Linked DNA regions of Astyanax mexicanus. The protein of the gene in region 1 purifies or fractionates together with the protein of each later gene. This does not show direct contact. Links are inferred from orthologs where the notes say so. Each region holds a gene or a part of one and is shown in the gene's direction. Other genes may lie near its edges.

Region 1 (15,273 bases):
TATTTCAGCCATTTTCAATTTTCTGCAAATAAATAGTCTAAATAAAATTAGTTGTATTTGGAATTTGGGAGAAATGTTGTCCGTAGTAGTTCATTTTACTCAAACACATACCTATAAATAGCCAAATTAGAGAAATTGATTCGGAAACTGAGCTTTTTCCAGAGCTGTATCTATATCATTTTTACTTTCTCAAAAAGAACAGCTTCCTAAGAACGTTTACTTCCGGACAAATTTTATAAGATTTGTTAGTGATATTTGTTCATATAAAAAGAATATAATTGAAAGAACTGTAAATTAATCAAATCATTGTGAGATTGGGTATTTACACACTTAATTGTCTCAGAAACTTGAATCTCAAATTCTTTTTGCTCTCAGTTGTCTCTATTTGCTCTGACCTGAAGTGCTCTTGTGTTTCCAGAGAGACCATGTACGGGCGCATGTGGAATTTCACCTCCGATTTTTCTCGTGGAGACACAGCCTACACCAAGCTGGCCCTGGACCGTCACACAGACACCTCGTACTTCCAAGAGCCTTGTGGGTGCGTACATGAACGAGCTCTTTGGGCTTGTCAGGTCCAGTTCGTGTTCACTTAGTCAGTTCTAATAACTTGGCAGAATGTCAGGAACCCTTTCCCTCCTCACCCACTGAAAGCATTGAAAAGAAAAAACACTTCTTACTGCTGAATAGTTTGAGGCGTTAGCTGTGCTTTCATTCCCATGCAGTATAGATGCACTCAGTGAACCCCTGTTTTCTTAGGCTTGCAGCAGTATGCTTTGCTATGTCCTGAGGCAGGGATGAAATCTAGTCCTTTGCGGTTTGTAGATTTTCCTAGTCAAATGCTCATGATCCAGTTAATTGCCTGGATTACGGACAACAGTTCACCACCTCTGCCCTCAGGCCAGTGCTACACCACATTGGTCACGTCTCCATTCTAGTTTTGCAGACAAAAAAACACTCAGTGGAGTGAATTATAGACCTACTGCTCTGCCTCCCAGCAGACACTGGTCTTTCCCAGCTTGGGGGTTTTGTAGAGATGTGTGTTACGTCATTATAAGAACCCCCCTAAGAGCAGTAATAAATCTTGGCTATGCAAACATTGTCATGGTTTGAGAGTTTGGTATAGTAAACATAACAGCAATGTTATAGTCTTTTAATATTAACCTAAAGGGCCTATATCTCTCATATATTCTACTTTGCAAATTAATTTTCTATATATTGTATATATGAAGCTTATTTAACTTTGAAAATGAAAGGACACATTCTATAGAAAAAATCAAATCATATCACATTTATCTACTATAAAACAGTTCGCCTCAAAAGCAGACAAACAGAAACATATCAGCATATCAGTCCAGAATGTGTACACAAACACACACACACACACACACTATATAAGATGTTATAACATATGAAACACGCTAAAAAAGAGTACTTAAATTAAGTACATTGAGTACAATATGTATTAGTATAAAAAGTATTTTTTCCAAATTATGTTTTTATTTCAGTATTTATCTGCAGCACATCTTATCTAAAGTGTGTGGCTAAATGATTCATATTAACACAAAGATCGAATCTGTTGATTGTAAACATTAAGAGATAAGAAGGCCAAATTCCCTAGAAGGGTTGTGACATCATGGCTGTAGCTAGGAAACATGACTAGAAGCAGCATGTTCCTTCTGAAAGAAAAATCAATAATGGTGATAATAGATGGTAAATAGGCATAAGGTGCTGCAGCTGATTAATGAGCATTTCCTGAGCTGTTTGCCAGGGCTTTCTCTCTTTATCTGTGATATAATGAGGTATCTGCAATGATATACAATAAAGATAAAGACAGAAAGAGTAGTTGTAAACAGATAAACAATATAAAATCTACTAAAAAATAATGTACACACTGAATTATGTATTCCTACCCTTTTTAGCTAAAACAGTTGATTATTTTGTGGCATTGCCATTTTACCTGGTTGCCAAAGCACACATTTACTGAAATTTAAAATACTGCACCTTATAGATTAGAATGGCATTATCTAAAGCGTGTGTGTGTGTGTGTGTGTGTGTGTGTATATATATATATATATATATATATATATATATATATATATATATGCACAGCTCTGGAAAAAAATAAGAGACCACTCAAAATTATGAGTTTCTTTTTGATTTTCCCAAACTGAAGATGGATGATCACAAGCCATCAAACCAAGCTGAACTGCTTGAATTTTTGCACCAGGAGTTGTTGAAAGTTATCCAAAAGCTTTGTTAGAAGTTTGTTAGACTGGTGGAGAAGAACATGCCAAGAGGATTAAAAACAGGGTTATTCCACCAAATATTGATTTCTGAACTCTTAAAAATGTATGAATATGAACTTGTTTTCTTTGCATTATTTGAGGTCATATTCTGCAAATACATATGCCTATGAAAAGCAAAATCAGAGAAACTGAAGTGATCTCTTATTTTTTTTTTTCTAGAGCTGTGTATATGTTAAATGCATTTCAATAGCTCAGTACCTGTACTCTGAACAATGACAAAAAAGTTGAATCTAATAACACTGTAGATTTTTTCTGTCCATTTCTGTGCATCACTTACACTCTTTTTACCCTCTCTGGCTTCATGGTAGGATCCAGGTGTTCCACTGTCTAAGGCATGAGGGCACAGGCGGCAGAACTCTGTTGGTGGATGGATTTAACGCTGCTGACAAAGTGCTCCAGCAATCACCTGAGAACTTTGAGCTTCTCTCACGCGTCCCCATCAAACACGAGTACATCGAGAACCAAGGCCACCACCGAAACCACATGATCGGCATCGGCCCTGTTCTGAACGTCTATCCTTGGAACAATGAAGTCTACATGATCCGGTAGGCAAAACTTGTACTGACTACTCAAGCTCTCTCTTTGTAGAAATAGTCTCAAGCTGTATTCAGATAAGATGGGACATGGAAAAGTGAAATAAATTATAACACAGATTTTAAAAAATGTGGCTTAAATGAGATGGGAGTAGCTACTCGATTTGCACACTATCATCGAATCATCAAATGACTTGCCTACTTAAAGCTGCAAGAGAGTTGTTGGCTTGTCTTCTGGATTTGACAAAATTGATTCTGTAAATCTTTACTGGTGCAGGAGTTCACAGTTAGTAAAAAGGCATGACATGGTGCATTCATTGTTAAGTTGTTGATGCATGGGTTCTTGATGTGGGAAAGCAATGCTGTTATGTCCACCAGCAAATACAAATGTTGTTTAAGGCTGATTTGAAGCACTAAAATGAGCTTCTGCACGTAGCACTGCTCTAGCTGGTCTGTGTTTTTTGACTGAGATATTCAATAGTTTATGCTGTGATAATGATATTGTCATAATGCCTCTTTGTTGTTTAGGTATAATAACTATGACCGTGCAACGATGAACACGGTTCCTCACAACGTGGTGCAGCGCTGGTATGTCGCCCACAGACAGCTAACTACTGAGCTGAGGAAGCCTGAGAACGAGCTGTGGGTCAAACTTAAACCTGGCAAGGTAAGCAAGCAAGATTTTTTACTTGTGAGCTACATTAGTAGCTAGATTAGGCTTTGGCTTTTGTGTAAAACTAAAGAAGCAAAATCTTTTTCTATCTGTTTAGGTTCTTTTCATTGATAACTGGAGAGTGCTGCATGGTAGAGAGTCCTTCACTGGGCTCCGCCAGCTCTGTGGCTGTTATCTGACCAGAGACGACGTGCTCAACACAGCCCGCTCCCTCGGCCTTCAGGCTTGAACAGCAAACAGCTAACACTAGGACACACCAAAGGATAACGGAAATAGCATTAGCGTAATCGGTACAGATCAGTCATATCCTTTATACATGTTTTGTGCATTTAAATCAAAGGTTAAGAACTTTTAGAGGGTCTGTCTCTCTGGTGGCCTTAAATGTCACGGCTACTTTGGGCCTTAATGAAATGTGTATGACAGGCTTTGGTCAAAATAGCACAAGAAAGAAGCACCACATCAACCATTTACAACCCTGTTTAGAACAGCGGTTTTGAGTGCCTCTATCTTTAAATGATAATAGACCACCGTTATTCCAACCTCCCCCACCGTTTTTCCATATTTATCACTCTTCTCTGCTACACGGATTCTTAGACTTTTAAGTTTATTTTTCTAGTTTAAGTTTTATTTTTTCCAACATTTACTGAAAATTAAGCTTTTTGAAAAGGTGGACATTTTCGAAAACCCTCTTTTCAGTGTTGTCTTGTAAATGAAGAAAACAGAGCTTTTTAAGAACAATTCTTGCTGAATATCAAATACTGTACACTCCCTACGTAGTGAAGTATATAAGGAAAATAAAACTACATTTGTATGTACAGATAGTTAAAGACTTCTGATTTTTACATGAATAATTGTCAGTTTTGTTCAATTACAAATGTATAATTCTTTATTGAAATGACGGTACTATAGTCCACTTCAATACTATAGTACCAGGGAGTAGTGTATGATTTAGGATTAAACCTTTATGTGTTCTTTTTTCATTATGGTCTTTTAAGATCTATCTTCTCTCTATGTGGTGCTATGCATCCAATTTTCATCTTCATGTTCTGCTTTTTGTCATCAATTTTTGGTATACACTTATAGAAAAAATTTAGAAACCACTTCAGTTTCTGAATCAGTTTTGCTGATTTTGCTTTTTATAGCTATATGTCTGAGTAAAATCACCATTGTTGTTTTATTCTATAAACTAAAGACAACATTTCTCCCAAATTCCAAATTAAAATATTATCATTTAGAGCATTTATTTGCAGAAAATGAGAAATTACTGAAATACCAAAAAAGACGCAGAGCTCCCAGACCTCAAATTATGCAAAGACAACAGAAACATTCATATTCATAAAGTTTAAGAGTTCAGAAATCTATATTTGGTGGAATAACTGTGAAATTTAATTACAGTTTTCATGCATCTTGGCATGTTCTCCTCCACCAGTCTTACACACTGCTTTTGGATAACTATATGCCACTCCTGATGCAAAAAGTCAAGCAGTTCAGCTTGGTTTGATGTCTTGTGATCATCCATCTTCCTCTTGATTATATTCCAGAGGTTTTTAATTTGGTAAAATAAAAAAACACATCATTTTTAAGTGGTCTCTTATTTTTTTCCAGAGCTGTATATTTTCAGAATAGCCAAAAGAAGTCACACCCTATGAACTGACAGTTGCTTTTTGTTTTCTTTTGTTTTGTATCTGTTTGTTAGTTTTTTATCTTTTGAAACTCTACCTTCTCAAAGTAAGTGGGTGGAGCTATTATGGTTGGGGTGGTGTAATTATAATCAGATGGCCAGCGACGTAGCAACTGTGACAATTTTGAATGGCATGTTGAATACATATTTTTATCTCCTACATGTCCCACAAAATGAAAATTTTTGACTGTACAATTTCACAGTTTGTGCGTTGGTAGGCATTCCAGATACCCAATGTGTGTGCTTAAATGTATGTTTTTCTGTAATATTCCCTAATAAGGAATAAGGAACCTTTTTTTTTTATTTTATCGCCAGTCATGTCAGACGTTAGTTGGAATGTGTAAGGGATGAAAAATAATAACACCAGGAGGTAAAATGTGAACAAATGTCTTAATAATAATCCTAATATTGAAATGGAACAAGCTTATGAATCAGTGTGAACAGGAAGCTGATGATTTGAAGTTCTTGGGGATCAGTCATCATCATCATCATCAGAGGAGGAGGAGGAGGAGGAGTTTATTTCCTGTGCTGCTGAACCAGACCCTGTTCTTTAACTGATAACAGAACAGGCAGCAGATTTAATGGAGATTACTTCAATGTGGGAGTGATCAGCATTCCTCCACCTTTGACCATGTTGTGATTTAACCTCAAGTAACTTATTGTCAGTGGCAGCGTATTGCTTATATTTCACTAAAGACTAGCTTATATTTCACTAAAGACTATAGTCCAGTTGTCCAGTATGCGGTCAGAATAGTATATAATAGAATTTTATAAATATTTGTAGCTATTTAGAATGCAAAACGTGGCCAAAATAAATCTGTTTTCTTCAGCATTTTCTTAATTCATATGTTTTCCCCTTACAGCTATCTTAAATATCATCTTAGATATGCTTAAGATTGCTGGTCCAAAGTTCACAGATATGAAAGCGCATAGGTTTCAGAACAAAACAACACTTAATTGTTTAATTATTGTATAATAAATTGAGCACTATAAAATACACATCCACCAATTGTACAAAATGTCAATTAGTCAAATAATTCTTGCTATAATACAATGCGCTGACATGGTACAGTTCATGGTTCAGTGTCTAGTATTGTGTCCCATGACTTTTGTCATGTCTAGCCAGTGTTCAGCTTCACTCAAAACTTATGCAGGTGTGACCTTTCCCAAGCTGTTGTCTGTGGTAACACTTCAATTTACATTCTGTTTTCCCATAACTTTTGTCTTGTCAGTGTAAAAATTACATTTCTTAACACAGGTTTAAAGAGTGCTAGCTAGCTAGGTTTCACTATTAAATTAAATTAAATACTGTTAAATTAAAAAACGATCATTTGAGCGACAGTTTAATTAATTGCCGCTTTTTGCAGTTTGGTGATTTTAATAAAAATACAATCAGTTGTGCTGCTCTGTGATCAGGCACTTGCTTACAGACATTTTAAGCAGTTCTTATTTCCATGTTCCATAATGTAAAATGGTTGTGAGGTCTGTTGTTGACACAGAATTTGGGATACATATACAGGGTGAGCAAAGGAAACTGTGAAGAGCAAAGTCAATGTTTTTGGTAATGTCACGATGTGTTGTACAGATAACAGGTACGATCCCAAATTGCTGAAGAATAATAGGCAGTTTGTACATTTGAAGGTCTGTTTGCTGCAGGCATTTTATTTTTACTGTATTTTTACTGTAGTGTAAAAAAATGATTGTACACACAACTAAAGCCTCAAAACCACCCCATGCAAATAAATATATTTTACAGCTTGCATACATTGTTGTTGTTTTTTTTCGTTTGTCTTGTCTAACTGTCATTACATCTCCTATTATTGGGGAAATGTTGATCATGTATATATAATATTCATTGTTCATTGTACACTTATTTCAGGACTCCCCCTGGTGGCCGGAGAGACTCAGAACAGATTCTGAACAGAAGTGGGTTTACTCCTCTCCAGTGATTTTTCTGAAGATTTGATTGGTGCATTTAATTTTCTATCTAGTTAAAGTGGCAGTCCGTATTATTGTGTTTCTAAACTGAAAGCAGAAGCATTTCTGAGTGGTGAAGGGATAAAATATTGTGTTTAATGGTACCAGTGTGCTGGAATGATCATCCCTGCTAAGCCTAATATATTAATTCTTAAAACTGGGCTGTCGGGTCACTTTTCGCAGAAGTTCTTCTGACCATGTCACGCATCTTTACGTCACATTCACAGCCTCTAAAAGAGGATCCGGCTCAGTTTTACTGAACGCGAGTGGCTGGTGGAGCAATGGCGACTTCAGAAGGGGAAATCAGAGCTCAGTAGCTCATTTACCCAGAGTAAAACCAAAGAAACGAAGAAGTGAAGTTTCTTACTAAGCACGCTCTCTCTCTCTGACTGAACATAACCTGGAATCGGATTCATCCGCTCTGAAAGGAGACCTCATCACACCCGACCAGTTTAAAATGATTCTTCCGCATGCTCGGTACAATTACCCATTCTCACCAGAGAGGGCCCTAAATCCCAAAACTTACAGACATCACCTTTAATTTGATTGGAGGATTGCTATGCAGGTGTTGTGGTGTTTTAGTATGGTTGGTTTGATGTTTTTGTGAGTTTTTGAGGACTCACCATCATGATGTAAATACATGCGGATATCGTATCTTATAAAGTCCACATCTCTCATTGCAGTTTGTGCAGGCAGGCAGTCACAACTGTACACTGGGAAAGTTACACTAGAAGAATTGTTTATTTCTCCTAGCATGTGTCTGAAATTTGCATGGTAAATTAGGGTTCCTTCCTTTTTTTTTTTTGCTTTTAGACACATTTTACTAAATATAAGATTTCTTACAACTGCAGTCAATTTTACCGGCATATCATTCTGACGAGCCGTTTAATGAGTTACTCAGCTAGTGGCAGTTGTCAACAAGTCACAGTTGCTTCAACCACTATCATGCCTTATATAGCCTCCGTCTCCCAGTGTAGTCTGTTTGGATAGCTGTGTCACTACTGTACACTTGGAAAAGTATTATGATCTTAATGGTTGCGTACTCATAGCATATAGCATGCATATTGTTCCTTTATAGCCCCCCCTCTCCCACTGAAGTACACTGGACTGCGTCTTAAATCATAGCTGTTGTCCAATCTGAAGGCAGCTGCATTAGTAGCATTCAATTTCATGTTATTTTGTTTGTATTGTTTTGTGTAAAAGTTTTGACATAAAATTATCTTGAACATGGTGTGACTGGTGAAATAATACTTGGCCCTTCTATAAATATTGTGGCCCCTTACTCAGAAAAATCCTAGATCCTCTTCTGGATGCAGCACATAAGAACGTATTAGATTAAAAGTGTTACATTAATTGAAAATATGTAGTGAGAAAAAGTGGAAGCAGGAGAAACAAATAATACCAGAGTAAATACGGATACTTCAGATATTTAGATATAAAATTCTAGTACTTAAGTACAATAAAGATGTACTTCGTTTATATACATCAACATTAAGCAGCTTTATCTCTCGGCATGTGTCTCCACCTGCTGCCCAAGCATTGTATAAAAACGTTTTTCCTTCTTATCGCGAGATTAGGCAGAATTATCCCGCGAGACTTGGGTCTCTGTGAGAGTCTTCACACGTGCTGGTCTGGTCTTCGGCGGGCAGCAGGGGAAGATGGCGGACGGAGAAAGTGGGTGCAGTGTTGAACTCTGTGTTTTATATTATTTCTAAAGCTTTTTTTGTGTTGTATAGCTTCGTTTGTGAGTTTCTGCATCTTTAGGACGCGGTTAATATGTTTTAGCTTTGTGTAAAGCTTAGTAAATAGATAGTTAGACCTCTGAAGGTAGAGAAAATGAAGAGCAGGGTGGCGCAGCTGCAGGGGAGATTGAGATTTGGGGAGCTAGCTGCAGTTTTAAAGACTCTTTGCTTGAGCAGAATTAGTAGCTTATGTCATTTAATGGAGCTAAAATGCTTTTAAAGTTGTTTAAATGTTTTAGATTGTTTGTATTTTGAAGCTTAGCTTAGTTTGAAGGTTACTTTAGCTCACTGAGGTGCATGACTTGGCCGACTTTTACCAGCAAAACTCTTTAGCTTAGCTGTGTAAAAGCCTGGTAGCTTGACTTTAACTCGTGTTAGTTCTATATTTTATTTCATCGCTTTATTTTATGGTATTTTGCAAAGATAACTAGCGTAGTATTTTTCACCTACTAACACCCGGTTAGAGAACTTGGCGTTAGCTAGGCTAGATTAGCTTGGCTAACTGCCTACATTTTCCCCAGTAAGTTAGTCATCAAAATTAAATTGACAAACCTAGCTTAATGCATTTTTAACGTGTCAGTGATAATGCCGTATTAAGGATGATTATTAGTTTAGAGAGAATATTTATTAAATTAGTCTTGGAAATTATTTTAGCTAGCTAGCTTGGGTTTGTGCACCACGTGTTGTCTGCGTTCGCCACGTGGGTGCTGTACCACCAAGGCACTAAATCGCTACAATTTGTTAACTAAGTTACCTATTAATACATTGCATGTTTAGTACAGTTGGTTGTTTTCTATTCCAAAATTTGAACATTCCTGAATAATTTATATTGTGTAGCTGGGGTAGAAAATGAAAGTATTAAATAGTTAAAAACCTAAGGGCTACTGAATTTGCAATGTTAACACAGCTTTTTTTTTTTTTTTTTACATGAAGCTGTAAAGAAAATGCTGAAGCATTGTGCTTTGTTTTTTTGTCGTTTTTAATTTAAATTGATTGCTCTCTTATAAGTGTTAATGTTGTGAATTTATTTTTCTTAATATGGATTGCACAATCCAGTTAATTAGCTAGTTAACTCATCTAGAAGAAACTTAACCATTTAACGTTACCTAGTCTCTTGAAACGTGGTCAGTGTTTCTGAGTGGTTAAGGCTAAATGGAAAATTGAGTGTAATTTTTTATGTAGTGCAGTGTAATTTTTCCAATTCGTTTTCTGGAAAAATGAAAACTAATCTGTTTTTTATTTTCAGATTTTTCCATTTTGGAAAGAGACAAAAATGGTCAAATGAGAATAAAGAAAAGATTTTCATTTTTCTTGAAATTCTGTTTGGGAAAGGCTGAAATTAAAAAACTAGATAGTAAAAAAAAAATGTATGAAAATCAATTTCTTCTTTTTCAAACTGATACAGCCTGACGTATTTGTTTTATGTCGAAAAAGGACTAAGCAAGTGCTGGCTGTGCTACTATAGTTGGCCACTACTAGCTGCTTTACTTTTAAAACATTTAAGATATTTCTCTTTAGTTTTATTAGCTTTAATGTTATACCAAGGTGGCTAGACTCTGTAAATTATAAATAATTATACTGACAGGTATACACGTGAGAGAGACACTGGATTTAACCCAGAATTCACATGTCTGGGTAGGTAGACAACATTTTTAGGTTTAGGCAGTAGAGCTCAAGTCCTTTGGTAATATCTCGCTGAATGTGCTTGTTTTAATAGTTGTTTTTTCCTTCACAGTTGGATCAGCTAAGAAGGAGAAGAAGAAGAAGTCAAAGATTTCCAATGATGAAATTGGGGTAATTTGACAATTTGATCAACCATTATACTGTTAATACTTTTGTTATCTAAAGTCAGAGTATTAGGTTGGACTAACCAATCTCACACCAGCTTGTTTGATATCTTTTATTGCTGACTTTTTATGCTATTTTTTATTGTAACTAAACCAAATGGGGAATTAAATCTGTAAAGAATTTCAAACAGTTAAATAATTACCAACCTAGACAGCTAGCTAAGGTTTCAGTTATATTGTCTAAACACGACAGCTGTTCTGTTCCAATTATTTCATTTAGCAGAGCTAAGCTTCGTAATTTTGTTTGTAAAATCACCCAGCAGTAATGTTAAAGACTGGTGTAGAGTATGCCAAGATATAAAATCTGTCACATCAAGGATAATCATTCAAATACAGTTTTTGTACTTTTTTTTTTTTTAATGTAAAGTTCACTGAAAGGCAGAACATTAGCATTGTTTAAATGTGAATATTAGCTTGACTTTGCATTTTTCAGTCTGAAAGCATTGAATGAAATTTTTATGTGGAATCTGGGAGATGGGTAATTTATGAATAAAACAATGTGCTAAAACCACATGCCTATAAACAGTAAATCTAGAGAACTTCATATCCCAATCACCCCCAGAAAAAACAAATGAGCAGTTTTAGACTAGTACTTGTTGTACTTAACACCTCAGCAGATATTTTTTGTTAAGTACTTGCTCTTAGATAATATGCCAGGGAGAGACATTGCATGTTTTTGTTTCTTGTCACATTGATCATGTGTTTTGCTTTGTGTTTGGCCCTCAGGAGATCCAAGAAACTGGCGATTTCCTCATTAAACCTGAATCCAAAGTTGCCAAGCTTGACACCTCTCAATGGCCTTTACTATTGAAGGTAACTGTTCCTCTTAAATTCCTAAGTCTTCCTTCATGGCCAACTCAGCAGGTGACATGATGAACGTGTTTATCCATTCTCTGAGTGCTGCCGGCTCTGTCTCTCTGCGGCTTCTGCTGTCCGTTCTGGGCTGCAGGGTTACGGTTGCCTGTTTATCCTCTGCTGGTTCAGTGTTCTACTGGAGCAGTGGTGGGATGTTCAGAACAGCCGGTGTGGGGAGATCAGACCAGCGCCAACAAAGACGAGCGGACTGTTCTGATCACCACTTTTAGATTTTTAGAGAATATTAACGCTAATATCCCTTTAAATCATAAATATTGATTAAGATTTAAAATAAATAACTATGCAAGCTAAGTTTTTAGTACTTGTTTGTTCTTGTTTGATTATCTTTTAATGTTTTTTGTTTTGTTTTGTCATCTAGAACTTCGACAAGCTGAACATAAGGACGGCACATTACACACCTCTGCCACACGGCTCAAACCCACTGAAGAGAAACATTCACGATTATGTCCGGTAAGCTGATATAAGGCTAACAGGCAGCACATTCAAAATAGCCACATGATGATCTTATATAGATTGCATTAGCATTCTGTGCAAAGATGACCATCTATCTATCACCCAAGACTGATGGCTTATAGTAAAATTAAAATATATATATTTTTTATTTGAGCTGGTAGAAGTACTTTAAAATCTTACGTTTCTGTGTTCAGGTCTGGCTTTATTAATCTGGACAAACCAGCTAACCCTTCCTCTCATGAAGTGGTTGCCTGGATCAAACGAATCCTGCGTGTGGAGAAGACCGGCCACAGCGGCACCCTGGACCCGAAGGTCACAGGCTGCCTGATTGTGTGTGTTGACCGAGCCACACGACTTGTCAAGTCTCAACAGAGCGCTGGTAAGTTAGTCTTTTTTTTTTTTGTTCTTTTTTTTCTATGAATTTCTGTTTAGTTGGTTTTGTGATTAGTGAGTCTGACCTCACCCAGTGAAACCAGTGGCCTCTCCTTACTACTCTTGCCGTGTGTTTCAGGCAAAGAGTATGTGGGAATAGTACGGCTGCACAATGCAATAGAAAATGAGCATCAGCTTGCAAGGGTAAGTGAGAGCGTATGTGTTGAATGTAAAATAACACCTGTTTGTTGATGTTAAGGACTAACCGGGAAACAAATTGGAACTTTATTTAAATTTAAAATATATTATACATTGTTTTAATGACTAACACTATGTTTCTGGTGGTGTTTTTTTGGTTATCAGTGCTTAAAGAACACTGATCAACTTTGTCTTGTTTTTTTTTTCTATTGGCCTCATTTTATCCATCAGTATTAGTCAAACAATGGGAGAGTAATAGATTAGTATCTTTAAATTGATATTTGTCTTGTATTGACCACCCATTAATGTTTTGTATGTAAAAGATTTAGTTCTGTCTCTAAAATTTGCATTATACAAATTAGTTCATTTAAAGTATTGTCAGTTAAAAATTTAAACCTTCATACTTTTGGGCACCTTAGTCTAAAATAACCGTATTTGGGGGGGCTGTATTAATGGATAGATTAAAAATATATATTTACTGGGATTGTTTACATGCACTGTGGTTTTGAACTGAAACAAGAATACAGATAGCATAGCCATTTTATTAAACCACTACAGTTCCCGCTGTTTTTTTGAAATGTTCTTTTTACCTATGCATATTAATCGGTTTATGTTGGTGTATATAAGCATATAAAAGCTGAGGTCATTGAAGTGAACAATTGCTATTTGGTGCAAACTACAAAGACTGTAAGCTTGTGTTCCAGCTGTGGTGTATTTATTTATATATGACCAAATGCAGTATGTAAAATGATGAACCTGTTTATCCATTCTCTGAGTGTCTCCAGGCCCTCCTCTCTATCGCCAGAGCTCTCACCTGTTCTAGGTTTGAGTTCTGGCTCTGCCGGCCTCCTCTTCTCTGCTTCAGTGTTCTACTGTTGCAGGTGATGCTGGAGGCCCATGCAGGTTTGGAGGGCCAGAGTTCACCAAAGACGAGTTGACGGGACTGATTGCATATCTGCATATCTGTTATGAATGACTGATTGCAAAGGTTCAGTGAAATTAAATTTTGACAGGATTTTGCTTGTTTTGGTCTCTAGGCTTTGGAATGCCTTACTGGAGCTCTCTTCCAGAGGCCTCCTCTCATAGCTGCAGTGAAGCGACAGCTCCGAGTTAGGACCATCTATGAAAGCAAGCTGATTGAGTATGACCCGGAGAGACGACTTGGTATGAACTTTGTTTCTTCATCTTCTTGCTAAGATGATACTGTTTACTCTTTTTAAAAAGCCACATGATGTGAAACAGATTGCAATAGCACACGTGCAAAGATGACTTACTATCTATCACCCTAGACTGATGGCTTTTATGTATTTTATGCACACTTTTTCCAGCTGTCTGACCAAGAGCAACCACCACTAAGCTCTGACTGTTTTTATGGTTGACAATGCAGGTATTTTCTGGGTAAGCTGTGAGGCAGGCACCTATATCAGAACGCTGTGTGTTCACCTTGGTCTGCTGCTGGGAGTGGGTGGCCAGATGCAGGAGCTCAGGAGGGTTCGCTCTGGAGTGTTGGGTGAGAAGGTACGTTACAGATTTAAAATTTTACAAGTTACTTGTGTGGTATTTTTTGTAAAATCAAAGACTGCAGCCCAGCTATGTAATGTGTGGATGTTTACCTATTTATACCTATTTTAATGGTCCTAGTATATTTTTTTTATATATATATTTTTCCCCCTCCATATTATTGAAATGCTCATTGATAGTTGTAGCTTGTTACAAAGAACATGCTTGCCCCTTAAATGTTCCAGTGACTTTTACAATTTATTTTAATTAAATTATCAAAGGTCTTGACTCTTGTATATGATTTGTTTTTCAAGAAAAAAAAAAAAGAAAACCTCTTACCTGTGAAGTTCCTATTGATTATATACAGCTTACTTTAGCTAAAAGAGCTTCATATTTGGAAACAAAAATTATATATCAGATAATAGCAAAAAAAAAAAGGCATTGAGCTAAATTGTAAAAAGGCAGATAAATTTGAGACCTTCATGATTAAATTGTTTTGCATATAGTTAGATGCTTATTGTAAATGCACAGTGATCAAATAGTTTCATTGTCAATACTGCATATATGCAGGACATACGGAGGATTAAAATTAAGTTACTCTCCTTCCCAAAGTTGCTACAAGTACAGCAAGATAAAAATCTAAATATAAAAGAATGAGAGTAAGTACAATACAACAAGGTTACAGATAGACACACGTGAGACACAAGACAATAGTGCAATAGTGATGAGTGCACTAAAAAGGAAATGACAGTTTATTTTGACCTTCAGCCAAAAGTTTTTTTTTTTTTTCAGATTTCAGTCAAATTTCCATTTTTTGCGTCCCCAGTTTTGTTACTCTGGATGTGTATATCAGGGTTATTGGGCTAGCTCCAATTGCTCTGCTTTTTCTCCACACATTCAGACCTTTGCATAGTATCAAAATGAAAAATAAAACGTTTTTACTAGCTTACATTAATGAAAAAATACCAGCCGAATTTCATCCTCCTGGTGGTAAAGCCAGCAGGAAGATTATTAAGGTGCTTTAAATGGTTCTTTAAACAGTGTTGTAGAAGCTCCATTGGTTCTGTTTTTTTTTTTTTTTTTTTTTTTTTTTTTTTTTATAATGGAGATGTGTG
Region 2 (16,227 bases), on another chromosome or scaffold:
AATAAGTGGGTTGGATAATTGGCCATGTAAATTGTGGAGAAAATGGGATAAGTAACAGAAATAAATGTATTAAAAACCTGCAGACTTTAGCTTCAAGCGTACAAGTTTATATGCCGTAGAAACTGTGGTATTTTATGTATTATGCTCTTTTCATGTGTATTCAGGTGTTGCAGACAAACAGAAAAGCCGGAGCGACTTCCATCATATCATTGCTGAGTTCTTCCAAAAGCGCAGTAAGGGACTTTGTGGCTGGCTAAGGAAGCTGGAGGAACTACCCTGGCATCTGGCACAAACTGGCTCCTTTAAGGAGCTATATAGTGTCCTCTCTGACCCAGAGTAAGGCTTAAGTTAATTTATTTTTATTACATTAAATATTTAGACAATAACTAAACAATGCTTTAAAGAACTGAAGAAAATAATGTAATTAGCTTTTTAGAGAAAACAATTGGATAAGTAAGTCTGTGTTGCCTAAGTGAGCATTTGTTTTCAATCTTGGGCCACTCGTTCAAGATTCTGGGAGATTTTATCTGACTTGCGGGCATCAGGGAGCCGTTATTGATATGCGGTAGACTTCCGCGAGACTTGGGACATCTGCTTATTCATTGTGAGGACTTTTTTGTGTAGTTCTTACTGAGCTGAAGCAGTTTTGTAATGGACAGGAAACATAAAGACATTTACTAAAAAGGTGTCATCAGTTGTCCCTGGCACTGTATACGGTGTAGTAAATCATTACATTCTTAAAAGAAAATCTACCACAATGTACACAAAAGTATTTTAAGCAATATACTGTATTATGACTGTTACACTCAGGGTAGACAAATAAGGTCAGATAAGCAGGAGATTTTATACTCGACACTGCATTGATGTTAATCAGCATGTACAGATAACGTATCACCATATTTTCCACAGAGCTGTGTGTATCCTGTCGAGCAGTGTGAGGCAGTACCCACAGCTGAGGCTTGATCTTGTTCGTTATTGGACGCTGCTGAGCCAAAGAGAGTATGACCCCGTCTCTTCACTCCAGAGACCAACTGTACTGAATGGTCAGAACAGAGTCAGAGATGTTGTCACTTTTATTTAAATAATTTAAAATGTATTTATGTAAGTAAAAAAAAAGTGCTCAGATGATCCGGTATAACGCTACTTTAGTCCTGTGGAGGAGTGGAGGGGGAGAAACGATAGGATTTTGACTTTTGCTCATGCATATTCATATATGCAAACATATCAATCGCCCTTTGATTGGCTAACAGCACTGTGACACATGCAAGACGGACAACAGTTTGAAACATTTAAAATAAAGACATTTTTTAATTTTTACAACATGTGTAATGCTCTGCTAAGTGCAGTTCAGCCTTTGATCTAGTCTTAGAGTAAACCTATTTTAACCTATAGTTACTTACACACAGAGGTGCGTAGTCCAGGTCCAGAAAGAAAGAAATCGACTCGTTATATACAACTCAGAGAGACCTACTGTATTTCACAAAGTACAAGAAAAAGTTGATTTTAGTGATAGGACACCTTTATATAAATGGTCTTTAGTCCAAAAAGCTTCACTCTAGGGACTGTTGTGGCACCACTGTAAGAGTAGGCCCTTTTCAATAGTTATTTATTTAATTATTTATTTATTTTCTAACCAAATTAATAAGATTAAGTTAATTCAAAATCATGACTTAAGTTGGTATTATTTGATCTACTGAAGATACTACTGATGGAACATTGTTTTCTATTTGATCTTAGGTTGTGGTAAGCGAGATCTTGGCAGTAGGGTTAAGTTAGCCCTTTTCTCCTTTGACCTTCTGCTCGGTTTGGGAAAGCCTGAAGAAGCTGGGAAAATACTGTCAGAAGCAGAAACTGTCCTTCAACAGGTGAGATTTTCTATTTGTTTTGCAATATATTAAAATTGTACATGGACATATACAGACAGGTGAGACAGGTGAGACTGTGTTTTGGAAGAATAGTGTTTCAACCATTAGTTTTTACTAATACTAATACTTAGAATTTCTATGCTTTATGTTTTTAAATTTGTCACCCTCAAATTTGAATGAGCACCATAGGCCACATTTTGTCTGTAACTATAAAGGTTTTCTCCCACAACACATTTCAGAAATCTTTCTGATATTGTGTATTTTTTTAAATAATTTTTAGATTAAATTTGAGATTTGTTCCCATTTTCTCCCCAATTTACTTGGCCAATTACCCAACCCACTCATTAGGACTCCCCCTATCAATAGTAAAGTAAGGTGAAGGCTCCTCCACTACATGTAAAGTCACCACCTCTTTTTGAACTGCTGCTGAGGCAGCATTGCCAAGTAGCATCACAGTGCGCATGAAGGGAAAGCGCAGCGACGCGGTTCTTATACGTTAGCTCACAGATGCCTTGTGCTGATCGACATCACCCTTTGGAGTGTTGTAGGGAGAGAGTGCCATCTACCCACCTCTCAGGGCTCTGGCAGCTGATGGCAATGCTTAGCTGGACAACTGGGAGCCCCTCTGATATTGTTATTGATGTTGCAGGCAGATGAGCTGGATGAAGACAGCGTGAGATCACTGCTGGAAGTGCAGAACATGCTGGCTAAGTTCTATTTCTACATGCAGCAGCTGGACGAGGCAGAGCTGTACAGCAGTAAAGGCTTAAAAACAGCAGACATCCTTACAGTTTCCAGTTCTTCTCATTCAGAGAACATCAGGATGATAAAAGGTAGCAGATGCAGGATCTGTCAGTCTGCAGTAAAGCATAACTGTGGATATACAGTTTGTATAGTGTTTGTGTATTGTGTTATGGATGTTACAGTAATATGTGTGTAGATGTGCTCATCTGTATTTATGTTTGTTCTTTTTCAGGGCAGTTTCTGTGTTTTCTGTCTCAGATAGAGCTGAAAAGAGGCTGTTTGTATACAGTTCCTGGACTTTTAAAGGAAATCAGCAGTACTGGCCTCAAGTGCATTCACCCATGTGCTGAAGCTACTGTTACTTTACTGCAAGGCCTATACAAGTACGTGATTATATGCAACAATACGTAGATCAACTGCAGACTGTTTATTTTAATAATTCCTGACAGTAACATTATTAGTAAGTCATTGTTAGCCCATTGTAATTCAGGAACAGTGGTAGTATTATATGGTCAGGAACAACTACCAAAGGCACAAGCCTGCTATATACTCAAGCCCAGGAACACTGTACCAACTGTAAAGCATGGTGGTGGACGCATCATGACACAAAGTGGATACAAAATTTATGAAGAAGACTGCTCTAGACAATTTTAGACTACCCCATCATTGAAACATGGATGCTGCCGGCTGTTCCGGCACATCAGAGGGTTTGTGAAAAAAAAATAAAGCAGGCTAGCTTTAAGCTTTTACAAAAAGTTTTACTTTTATTTAAAACTACCCAAAGTCCTAACCTTAACCCAAATGAAAGTATGTGGACAGCGTGTTAAAGTGTTAAAGAAGGTCTATGCCTGGAAACCAATAATTATTGCTGGATTTAACATATTAAATTAGAAAACACACATATAACGTGACACATTTAAGTTTGCATTTTTGTTAAAATTAAACAAACTAACACTTATTTTGAATAATGTTTTTATATTTGATTTAGTCACATTTTTGTTTCATAATAAGTTCAAAAGACAAAATTGTACATAACAGAGAGAAATTATAACCCAAACACACCCAGAAAAGGAAGAAAAAAGGGGGAAAAATAATAATAAAGCAAAAGCAGGGCTGATGATAACTACAAAATAATAATAATAATAATAATAATAAAAACGAAATTAAATCCCAATAGTCATACAATTATACACAAAATAAAGAATAATAACAATAATAAAATGAATAGATAAATAATAATAACTATAGTAATTTAATAGTAATTTATTATTGGATCCCAAATCTGTTTAGTGTAAACGCTCTATAGAGACACTTATTTTGAATTTAAAAAACGTGTGGTCTGAAGACAATAATCTAATCTAAATCTAACAACATCTAATTTGACAAAGGGTCCCCTAGTACAAAACAGAAATAGTGCTTTCAAACATTTAAAGATTTTATGTTGGAAGAAAAAAATCAACATATTATAGATAAATGTTTGGAATTTATGAGGTATAAATGTTTTTTATGTGCAGATTTGCTGTTGGCGAGCTGAGTGCAGCTGAGAGCTGTGTGGAGGCGGTTTTGGCCAGTAGGAGGCGCTGGTATGGCACTGAACATCCCCTGGTTGCAGCAGTGGAGGAGCAGCTGGCCGACATTTGGTCTGACAGCAACCACACTGACAAAGAGTGAGAGATCCAGGAGATTATATGCATACATCAGTGTTACTTATCCCACTGCTAACAGTTTACAAAAAATGGGATTAGATCATGGAGCTTCATCTGGACACAGACTGAAAAACACTGATATATAAAATATTTCATTAATACTATAAAATTCAAATATTTATTAAAATGTTTTAAATATTTATATTTATTTCCACAGGGTTCTATTTTGGGCCCTATACAACTGATGCTAATTATGATAGCAATGTAAATTTGATAGTGTTGAAGTATGGGCTTACATACAGAGGCATTGGACCCTATATGTTGTTATTTATAATTATATTAATACATTTCATTCTAATATTGTTCTGTTCTATTTATCTATTATTCATTTTTATTTTATGATTTCATTGTATATGACTGTTTGTCATCATCCTTAAGAGTTAAAAAGGTAGTTTTGTAATTGTGCTCTGTTTTAATTGGTTGGAAAACTGAGACTCTGATTTTGCTGTCTATAGGTTTATGTTTGAGTAAAAGGAACATTATTCTATAAACTACAAACAACATTTCTCCTAAATTCAAAATAAAATTATTGTCATTTAGAGCATTTATCTGCAGAAAATGAGAAATGGCTGAAATAACAAAAACGATGCAGAGCTTTCAGACCTCAAATAATGCAAAGAAAACAAGTTCATATTCATAAAGTTTTAAGAGTTCAGAAATCAATATTTGGTGAAATAACCCTGATTTTGTATCACAGTTTTCATGCATATTGGCATGTTCTCCTCCACCAGTCTTACACACTGCTTTTGGATAACTTTATGCCTGCACTCCTGGTGAAAAAACTCAAGCAGTTCAGTTTGGTTTGATGGCTTTTGATCATCCATCTTCCTCTTAATTATATTCCAGAGTTTTTTTTTATTTGGTAAAATGAACAAAAACAATCGTTTTTAAGTGATCCCATTTTTCCAGAGCTGTATATATATATATCTATGTAGAATGTTGTAAAATGATCTTTTTTCATGTTTTCCTGTAGCTGGACTCAGAGGAAGGCCACTGAATTGTTTCGTCATGTCATCCATGTCAGAGAAAGAGTGATTAAGAGCTGGGGGATGACCTCCTTCCTGTCCAGGCCCATGCTGCAGGACCTCACCAACACTCTGCTTAAACTCGGTGAGTGAAAAAAGGGGCTGGTGTGGTTATATGCTACAAAGCCAAGTGATTTTAACTGGATACAATGCAGCATATTGTTAAAAAAACATATATTGTTCTAAGTATTTAATTTTTTTATTATTACCCGGAGAGATTGATTATAATATATGGGAATAGTGGCCGGGATTGGCTGTGGCAATGCAATGCAATGTGAAAAAACAAAGAATACAGTTTTGCAGACTTATGTTGCCTCCAGTGGTTCACTGACCTTGTTCTTTCTCCAGGTAAAGTGTTAATGCAGAGCTCCTGTGCGGCTGAAAGGAGAGAAGCTCTGAGTTTACTGCAGAGAGCTACTGACCTGACTCACCTTCTCAACGCTGGCCACCCACTCTCCAGACACAGGCAACAGTAAACCCATTCATTATGTATTATATTGATTGTACTATATGCTGTTGTAAGTACTGAACTTGTTGCTAGATGTAATAGAACCATTATAACATGGTAAAAGCTTTTGTAGGTCTGAAATATAGGAATGAATGTATATTAAGAAATGAAATTAAGTTGCCAAAGAAATTTTTTTATTTTAAGTTGCCAAAGAAAAGTTTTTATTCTTGTTTACTGTCTTCAACTTTGACTGAAAAATATGTGGGGCTGTCATATTCAGAAATGTTCCATATTGCAAGGTGAAATATATATTTGTCTTCTCTTTCTATCCCCAAACTTCATGATTTGGACTCTGCATTGCACCACACTGGATTGGACAAATGATGATTTTACCATAAATCAAATTTTCGTTCATTTTTAATACTCTATTTAGAATCATTTGCAGGCAATGACTGCCAGAAGTCTGGAACTCATGGATATGTTCACCAAACACTGGGTTTTCCTCCCTTATGATACTTTGTTAAGCCTTTACTGCAGCTGTCTTCAGTTGTTCTTGGTCAGTGGGTCTTTCTACCTTTTATTTTGTCTTAAGTGAGTGAAATGCATGTGTCCAATTACTTTTGAGCCCCTGAAATGAGGAGGCTTTGGATAAAAATGGTTGTAAATTTCTAATGCTTTATAGAATATTATTATTCAGCCCCTCGAATTAGACCAGAAAGTCTACACTTTAGTTGCATCTCAGCTCAAATCATAATAATTGAGTCACTGTCCAATTATTTTTGGACCTAAATGTATCTAATTTACATAATTCATCTATTACCAACAAATGTAGCTTATCAGCGGAGCCATGTTTGGTGAACTTTTAGAGTTTTAATGTTCCATAACTTAAATTAAAAGTAAGAAATATTAATTTTTCATTTCTTGTCTTTTTCTCAGTGTCTTTAACACAGATATTTCAGTAGTTAAGAAGCGACTGGACACCCCAGCAGCTTCCAGATCAAGAGCTTGTTTAACCAGTAGACTCCTCACTAAATCCCCCCTGCTTCATCAGTCTAGACTGACCTCTACACAACCTGGACCTGCCACAGCACCTCTGGAGCCAAAGCAGAACATAGAGAAAACCCTCACCCGGCCCTGGACAACATTTCAGACCAGTGTGTTCGGGCCTCAGAGTGATATCAGGACTCTGGTACCCAGAGAAGAGGTGTGTGGGTCCAGGAAAATCTCATCTAAGGAGGGGTCTGATAAGAGGCCTGACCGCTGCCGTGTCCAGGAGGAAGCAGTGAAGGCACTGAATAGACAAATGGGAATGTATGTTTACAGGAAATCAGCACGTTAGGACTGCATTGCATTTCTTGTTTATTCACATGATTTAAAATCTGATTCAATGATGCAATTAACTGATTGGTGTGCAGTTTGACAAATTTCGGGCAATTTTGTATATAGTTTAGACCAAATATTTAGCATTTATTTTATGATTTATAATGACCTATTACATTTTTTACAGACTCTAAACAAAAAATATTTATATATATATACTGCATACAGTACTAGATACACATTTAATGTGTTTTCTTTCTTTTTATGATTTTTTAAAATTGTAAATGTAACGAGATTTGCACACTCATTGGCTTCATGAGGTAGAGTAAAGTCACCTAAAGTATTTTTTTCATCATCTTGGGTTTAGATCAGGGGATTGTGGAGGCTGAACACCTTTTTTGTTTAGTCCATAATTCCTTATGTGTCCCTAAATTACTTTCATGTCTTTAATATTTGAATCTACAATAGAGAAATAAATGACTTAAATTAATGAAATAAAGAAAACATTGAATAAGAAGTAGTGTGTCCAAACTTTTAACTGGTGCTGTATTTGAATGCAAAATATATAAAAAAATACAATTTAATAACCTGTTTATTGCATAAATTTTAATATTTAGATGCAGAATTGGTTATTGTTGTAAAATAAACTGTTTTGTATTGGTAAAAGAGGCGCAGCGCCCTCTGCTGGGCGGATTATTGTGTAGTTACTGCTGATGCTGGTTCTGAGCTCTAGAGGGCGCTGGACTATTTTACACTGCCTTAAAGTACTCTGATAGATTCTGCATGCACTGTAGGTGCGTGATGGAGAAGTGAGAGACTGAAGAAGAGACATCATTGAATACTTTTAAGATCATCCGACAGGAGTTTGCCGGTCAGGAACCATAAATATTTCATAAAAGTAGCAATAAAAATAAATATATATTTATTTCAGTCACTGACAGCATGTTTTACACTATGCGAATAGACAAAATCAGTGGATTTTAGAGGTTTGACTGTAATATCTGCAATAAACTAGTGTTGCTGGGTTATACAGTTTTTATACATATATGGCCAAATTTAATTGTGTAAATTTAGATTTTTAAACCCCTGCTCTTTGCAGAAAAAATACTACATTTCAAAAATGTTATGACAGATTGGCCAATCCATTTAATTTAATAAAATGTAATTAATTTAATTAATAAAAGGAAGCTATTTCTCTCTGTAGGTGCGAACTGGGCTGGAGCTGGGTATATTTTGGGGATTTTTTATTTTATGGTATTTTATGATCCACCTCTATCTGCTGCCTCTCAAATCGGTAATGGACACTTTTGACACCTATAGGGTACAAAAACACAAGCAATGGAATTCAGTTGAACAAAAACTTTATTTTATAACATAAATGCATAAAAAAAAAACCTAGACATAAAATGCATAAAATGATAAATGAGCTAAAATACCCGAGTATATTAATATTTTTTATTCACTCACTGCAGACAGAACAAAAAAAGCGTTCTAGTAATCTGCGAATGCTTTCGCAGGTTTTTAACTGATGATGTTCTATTTAGGTGTAAAAGACGTGAAAATATTTTAAATAATATATTAATAATTATCACAATATAATAATTATAATAATATATGTCCACCACGAACACCGACACCCATCTCTTATTATTTTAAATAATATATTTTAACATCATATCGTGAGTTTAAATATAAAGTTACCTTGTTTTAAGGAAACGACTGAAGAGAATATGGTGACTTTTATTTTGAAATAAATATTGTCTCCGGAAGCTGCGCGCTTGAAAGCGTGTTTGTGCCACATGTGTGACTAGCATGCCTGAGTGTTTCTGAATCCAGCTTCAGTCAACAGCCCGAAAATAAGACAGTATGGAGAGTTTAACCGGGGAGGATCTCACAGACACACAGGTACCGGATCTAAATCAGTTTTCTCTGAAAGTTAGACTTCAGTAATGTGTTCAGTGTTTAAACCTGTAGAGTTTAGCTTATCAGAACTACTGTTACTAATCTACTACAGTGTGAACTGCTACTGAGTCTGTTTCGTTTTTACAATTACCATCGCTTACTTCAATTAGGCTGGTTTGATTTTTATATAGATTAGAAAACTGAATAAAAAACACAAACAGCTACTATCTAAGTTCAGAGAACACCACCCACCCAGTCCAGTTGTAAAGTGTTGTGCTTACAGCTGTACTACTAGCTAATTGGCAAATTGACAAACGTGGTAAACTCTAGATACAAGTAGCTACATTCATTACAGTAATTTAGTAGCTTGTATGTGGTTTGGGACGCAGCCAGGACTTGTGGAGGGAGGAATTAGGTGGATCAGGTAGACTGGATTAGGGTTGGAGGTGAAGTCTGCAGGAACCTAGATCTCTGTGTGAGATTAGTGCCATGGGGCATATAGATTCTCAGCTCTGATCCTGGAAGTGAAGACCTCATGCCCTGCATAGTTTAGTATGTTGCTTGTTTTTAACACACCAGCTAGAGTGTATTGTTGTTTGCTGTGTTACACCTTTATGCTGTCTGTCCTATTAAAGAAAATCTACTCCAGACATATTATATCTGTCCTGTATCATTTATTTACTTAATTGCTGGATAAACAGTTCTGGAATAAATTAGGAGACCACTTCAGTTTCTGAATAAGATTCTCTGATTTTGTTATTTATAGGTTTATGTTTGACTACAATGAACATTGTTGTTTTATTCTATAAACTACAGACAACATTTCTCCCAAATAAAAAAAAAACATTATTTAAAGAATTTATTTGCAGAAAAAGGAAGTTCATGTTCATAAAGTTTTAAGAGTTCAGAAATCAATATTTGGTGCAATAACCCTGGTTTTTAATCACAGCCAAGATCTTGGCATCATGTTCTCCTCCACCAGTCTTACACACTGCTTTTGGATAACTTTATGCCTTTACTCCTGGTGCAAAAATTCAGGCAGTTCAGTTTGGTTTGATGGCTTGTGATCATCCATCTTCTTCTTGATTATATTCCAGCGGTTTTCAACTATTAGTGTTTGATCGTTGTCTTCTGTTACAATCTAGTGAAAATCTCAATTTGGGGTGTGCCATTTTATATTGTAAGCAATAACACTAAAAAATTAAATATATATCTAGAATATCATTATCGAAAAATACCCTGGAATATTGTAATATTATTTTAGGGCCATATTGCCCACCCCTAATGTCAACACAAAATAAATCTCTACTGATTAAAGCTGGTAGTTAACAGTTAAATCGGGTGTGCTGGATTAAGTAGGTCTTCATCCCTACAGGACTAGAGTTGCCCCATTTCTGATTTAGTGAATTAACCACTCTTTTTTTTTTTGCTTGTAAATATATAAATATATTTTTTAACATCCTAACATCTTTCCTGTATGTGTTATTCACTATTTTTCAGCCACAAGCAGATATGCCGGTGGATGCACCTGTACATGTTAATCCATCAGCGGGAGAAGACAGTAGCTGTGCTACAGAAAAACAAAGCCCTAAATTTGTACCTGTGGATCACAATCTACATGAACATAAGAAGCCAGAAACTGACAGTGCTACAGAACAATGCTCACTAAAGAACCCTGATGCTGTACCTGATGCAGCTACAGCAGAGGCTGACTCACAGAAAAATGAACCCATGGACATAATAGTATCTGACCTGAAAGAAGAACCATGTTCTGGCTCTTGTAACGAGGCTGTGGGTGAAGCCACAGTGAGTCCCATCAGCGGTGGAGGATCTTTGACTTTGTTAAGCCAGCAGTACAGAGATGACAGCTCTGAAGATCTCTCAGACAGGTATAAAACACACAAAACACTTAAATTATACATCATAACGAGCTTACTGTACTTACTGTACTTATAAAAACTGCACGGACTCACTAATTCACACTAGTAGATCCTGTATACAGTGTTTTTTAATGGTTTATAAAGAACAATCTTCAAGAGGTTTTAACTGTGTATGAACTTTGTAACCTGACATAGTTATTTACACATTCTGTTTTTAAAATTATTTATTTTTATCTCTTGCTTCATTACTGCCTGGCCAAAAAATCGCCACCAAAAAAAAAAGGTCCCACCTTTAGCTTTGATTGCAGCACACATTCACTGCGGCATTGTTTTAATAAGCTTCTGCAATGTCATAAGATTTTTTTAAATCCAGTGTTGCTGGATTAATTTTTCACCAAGATCTTGCAGCAGCATTGATGATGGTAGAGTCTGACCACTGCACAAAGCAGCTCTTCTCCATCCAGCACATCCCAAAGATTCTCAATGAGGTTAAGATCTGGACTCTGTGGTGAACTCTCTCAATCCATGTGTAAAAACGATGATCTCATGCTCCCTGAACCCTGAACTCTTTCACAATTCCAGCACCATGAATCCTGACATTTTTTATCATCTTGGAATATGGCCGTGTTCATCAGGGGGAAAAAAATCCATTGATGGAATAACCTGGTCTATATTCAGGTAGTCAGCTGACCTCATTCTTTCAGCACATACTGTTGCTGAACCTAAACCTGCAGACCAACTTCAGCATCAACCAACCAACCCCACATAATTTACTTACTTAAATCCAGGTGGAGACTTTTTTGGGGCTGGGCAGTGTATATAGAATCATTAGTTTTATGGAAAAAAAATGGCACCTAAACTTTTATATATATATATATATATATATCAGCCATATTTTGAGTATACAGACAAATCTGCTGTTTCATGTTCTATCGATTTTTGTGAGAGACTTTTTTCCTTTTCAGTGACTCAGACTCTTCTTCATCTTCATCCTCCTCATCTTCCTCTTCCTCATCTGGAGTCATTTGCTCAGTGTTGAATGAGATTGATCAAGACGATGACCAAGAAAATAATCTTGCTCCTGGGAAGAGGCCACCACCAGTCAAGACACAGGATGAGCTGCTGATTGAGGTGAGGTCATTGTTGTTTTACTGTGGTTAACTGCACTACCTCACACACTACACACACACACACATACATTAAAAGGCTCTACTTTTATACTTTATTTTTATTTTATTATAATCTGTATCATGTTATCTGATCTTTTTTGTAATTTCTCTCTGGCATCAATAAAGTATCAATAAATTATCTATCTCTGACACTTCAATTGCAGCGGAGACATACATAAATATATAAAATAGAGAAATAGACACTGGGGTAATAAACAAATACTAATAATATTCAGTTTCAGTTTTAATTCTACTTTAATTTTAATTCTAACAGCTGTACAATGTGTGTTGCTAAACTCTATGTAGACATATGGACTATGGTGTTATTAGTTAACTCTAACTAAGAGGGTCTAAAGTGCTGCCACTATGATCAGGAGATTGCCGATTTGAATCCCAGTCATGCAGCTTGCACCTTTCTCTCTCCGGTTGGGTAGATGGCGCTTTTTTCTCTCATCACTCCTAGGGTGATGGCGATCAGCACGAGTCGTCTGTGAGCTGATGTGTTGCTGCGCTTTCCTCCGAGCATGCTGTGAAGCTACTCGGGGATATACAGCTGACTTGTAGCTGACTGGGTAGGACAATTGGTCTTGTTAAACTCTTACTGATGTCCGTCCTGTTTGTGTGTAGGATCTCCCTGCAGTGGAAAATCTGAACATCAGCCTTCCTGAGGACACACAGATTGAGCCCATTGGAACTGTTTCAAGCATCATAGATCAACTAGGTATTCTTACTGTGGCATTCAAAGTACCAATCAAACCATTGTTTAATGGATCAATGTATAATTTTATTTGTAATTGTGTAGGAAGAGATAACAAATGATTAATTTAATATATCAGTCATATAAAGTAATATATTGCTGTTGTTTTGATTTTTGTATTGCTTGGTAGTAATTGTTGAATCAATGAAAGACTCACAACCCCTGAATGAAGACAGTGTCCTATTCAACAAAGACAGGACAGCTATTGGGAAGGTGAGTCCTCAGCATGCTTCAGATATTTCATATTCTTAGTGTTTTTAGGATTAGAATTGCTCTCTTTCTGATCTACATTCATTGTGACTTTAATCGTGTGTTGAGTTACTGTCTTTGTAGCTGAGTAGTCAGTAGTGTGTCTCTTGTGTCCTTTTTTTTGTTTGTTTCTATAGGTGTTTGAGGTCTTTGGTCCAGTTTTCCAGCCTTACTACATCTTAAGGTTCAACTCTCACGAAGACATTGAACAGAAGAACTTGAAAGTAGGGGAGACGATTTTCTTCGCTCCAAATATCAAAGATTTCACAGACTACATCTTTACTGAGCAGCTGAACAAGTGAGTAATCCGTCATTTCTGAATATTTGGACATGGCTCTCAGTCAGTCATATTTACTCGGATGTAAAGACTCAAGGATAAACTACTACCACTTAAATACCTTATGTTGGTGTTTTGCTTATGTTAGCTTTAGCATTTGATCACAAACAGCAGTCTGTTTTTGCTCTTATTGATGAATATTCTGTTTTTTTTCTTGCTGTAGATTTAAAGGATCAGATGCTTCTTGGAAGAATGATCAGGAGCCTCCCCCAGAGGTAAATGTGTTGCTTTAATGATCTGCCATTCTGTAAATATTTTGACATTTATCAATCAGGTTTTACGATGCTGCTCATTGTCAGCATTTATGGCTACGTTCACATTATCAGGCTGAAGTGACTTAAATCAGATTTTTTGCTTAGATTTTTTTAAAAATCATTTTTGAGTCACTTTTAATATGTGGTCCAAAATTGGATACATATCCAATCCAATTGACATGAGACATAATTATGAACGGTCAAAACTGAATTCATGCGTTTTTTTTTTTTTACAATCATGTGCTACGTGCTTCTCTCTCGTACCCACACATCTCTTGGTGCAGCTGTGCAGCTATATAGCTGCAAAAAAACAGCAAAAGCAAACCACCTGGCCTTTTTTCACCTCCTCAACCTGAGCATGAACTTCAGAGCAGCTGTTTACTCTCCACTCCAGCACAAGATGCTCCACATATCAGCTGCTAACAAACAAATCAATTTCCCTTTATAAAGCTACAAGTTTTCTCTCGAATATGAGATTTATTTTGTTGTTAGTGAACACACAGATTACACACAGATACAGGTCACTTACATATGTGAATGTATACCGTCAAGGTAGCCAAAGCCGATCTGAGGAAAAAATCGGATTTGAGCAATGTGGTTTTTAATGTGAGCGTAGCCTAAGTTTTCAACTGATCTTGGAAGTACCATTTTTGTTCTTTAGTAGCAATTTTAGGCTTGCAATCTGCCTATACCATCAATAATGCTGTTTGTAGATTGACTATAATTATATTGTGATTGCAGCTTTGACCTAATGTAATTGCAACCAATGACTAGATAATTTGTACCAGACAGCTATGAACCCCAATCAGTGGAGATTGGGACTGAAGTTTGCTTCCCTGCTGAGTAGTGTGTGAATGAGTTAATAGGGCGTGTGTTTCCTGTGGAGATTGCTGATTTGGGTTTATTGTGTTAATGGTGGTGTGTTGGTCTGTGTTGGTTTGCAGGCTCTGGACTTCAGTGATGATGAAGAGGAGAAAGTGGCCAAGCAGAAGCTGAAGCAGCAGAGGAGACAGAGGCAAGGCCGAGAAGAGTCGGACTCCGGTCAGTCACAGCACCAAACACTGCTCTGTGCCTCGTAGGGATGGGCGATTTATAGCCCTAAAATAATATCACGATATTTCATGGTATTTTTATGAGTGATATGACAAAAAACTGAATAAAAAAGACATTTCAAATATCTCCATATATCCAGGACTAAAATAAAATAAATGATACTGGCAGAGGTGGAAAGTAACTAATTAGATTTACTCACATTACTGTAATTGAGTAGATTTTATGAGTAATTTGTAATTTAAGTAGTTTTTAAATTAGGTAATTTCACTTTTACTCAAGTTCATTTTAAAACAAGTATTTTACTTCGCTACTTTGGAAAACTCCCCATTTTTGAGTAAAAAAATAAAATGCTGGGGAAAAAAAAAACCATTGTTTTAATAAAAAAAAAAAATTGAGTTTTGTTCTCCATGTTCGCACAGCTGAACTTTTCCCAGCAGTGTTTATTATTATGGTTAGCGGGAGAGACGCTGTGTCGAGTTATGCTACCCATCGATATGAGCTTCTTTACGGCACTGCTCATGCGCCCACCAACAGTTTTTTTTTTTTTTTTTTTTTTTTTGTGATTTCATAGCAATGGCAAGTAAAAAAAACTGTAAAACTATAAAAATACAGTTTATAGTCACATATATGACCATAACCTTGGGTTGGTCTGAACAAATACTGCCTGAAAGGTCAAAATTATTTAATTAAATAATTATTTCATTTATGATTTGTTGTTTTTACATCAAATAAATTAAAGTAACTATGTAACTTTTACTCAAAGTACATTTTAAATTGAGTACTTTTTTACTTTTACTCGAGTAGATTTTTAGATGGGTACTTTTACTAAATTACAATTTTTCAATACTTTTTCCAATACTTTTTCCATACTGGACAGATTTAATCTGTCTCTAGTAGCTATATAAAGGGAAATGAGAAAAGTTAGAATTTTTCCTTTTCTAAAAACGACAAAAAAAAAAAAACACTTCTAATTACATCATGTATCAAACATGCCTTTTTACTACTTTTATCTCCTGTAAGACAGATTTACCATCATTTTTGTGATAAAATTTATTGCTTAATTGCTTCTACTTCTTTTTAGTCAAATAACATGTTTTAATTATTTAATCAATCTCATAGATCAGGGAAATATCTACTAATTCTTCTATTTTGGTGTCTTTTGTCCAACAGAGAATGAAACACCTACTCCTAGACCTCAGAAACCCCCCAGAAGAAAACCAAAACAGAATCGGAACCCTCAGAGTGACCCCCCTCCACATCATAACCCCCGCGGCAGATTCCACAGCAACTTCCACGCCAACCCCCATTTCCAGCCCCAAGGCTCACCCACTTTTCAGCATCCAGGTAGCCCTCGTTTTCAAGCCAGAGGGACCCCCCACTTTCAACCAGACTATATGTTCCCTCCACCAGGACCGTTCCAGCCTCCGTTCCCCGGCCCCGGCTTCTCTCCCTACCCTGGACCACCACCACCTCCTCCTCGCATGGGCATGGGCATGGGCATGGGTCCGGGCCCAGGAC

The links.
Region 2: the proteins of dkc1 (region 1) and naf1 purify together in Homo sapiens (co-immunoprecipitation; 7 studies listed by BioGRID and IntAct, counting the BioPlex papers as one, with this or other methods). This does not show direct contact. The link is inferred for Astyanax mexicanus from reciprocal best matches to the Homo sapiens genes DKC1 and NAF1.

The regions. Positions count from the first base shown.
Region 1 is NC_064424.1:18,990,228-19,005,500, forward strand, and holds the start of dkc1 (H/ACA ribonucleoprotein complex subunit DKC1), read left to right. Parts: upstream 1-8,777; 5' UTR 8,778-8,828; coding exon 8,829-8,844; intron 8,845-10,647; coding exon 10,648-10,706; intron 10,707-11,485; coding exon 11,486-11,572; intron 11,573-11,623; exon of another isoform or gene 11,624-11,835; intron 11,836-11,993; coding exon 11,994-12,085; intron 12,086-12,125; exon of another isoform or gene 12,126-12,205; intron 12,206-12,282; coding exon 12,283-12,467; intron 12,468-12,599; coding exon 12,600-12,664; intron 12,665-13,400; exon of another isoform or gene 13,401-13,609; intron 13,610-13,695; coding exon 13,696-13,822; intron 13,823-13,881; exon of another isoform or gene 13,882-13,957; intron 13,958-14,045; coding exon 14,046-14,176; intron 14,177-15,273. Other genes in the region: tmlhe (trimethyllysine dioxygenase, mitochondrial), read left to right, coding at 419-538, 2,615-2,851, 3,368-3,506, 3,610-3,741.
Region 2 is NC_064409.1:7,204,911-7,221,137, forward strand, and holds the start of naf1 (H/ACA ribonucleoprotein complex non-core subunit NAF1), read left to right. Parts: upstream 1-8,879; 5' UTR 8,880-8,974; coding exon 8,975-9,013; intron 9,014-10,510; coding exon 10,511-10,899; intron 10,900-11,855; coding exon 11,856-12,021; intron 12,022-12,686; coding exon 12,687-12,780; intron 12,781-12,946; coding exon 12,947-13,029; intron 13,030-13,202; coding exon 13,203-13,363; intron 13,364-13,565; coding exon 13,566-13,617; intron 13,618-14,600; coding exon 14,601-14,697; intron 14,698-15,879; coding exon 15,880-16,227. Other genes in the region: ttc41 (putative tetratricopeptide repeat protein 41), read left to right, coding at 165-336, 910-1,043, 1,738-1,865, 2,515-2,698, 2,842-2,992, 4,124-4,276, 5,289-5,425, 5,689-5,812 and 1 more. UniProt on the Homo sapiens protein: RNA-binding protein required for the maturation of box H/ACA snoRNPs complex and ribosome biogenesis.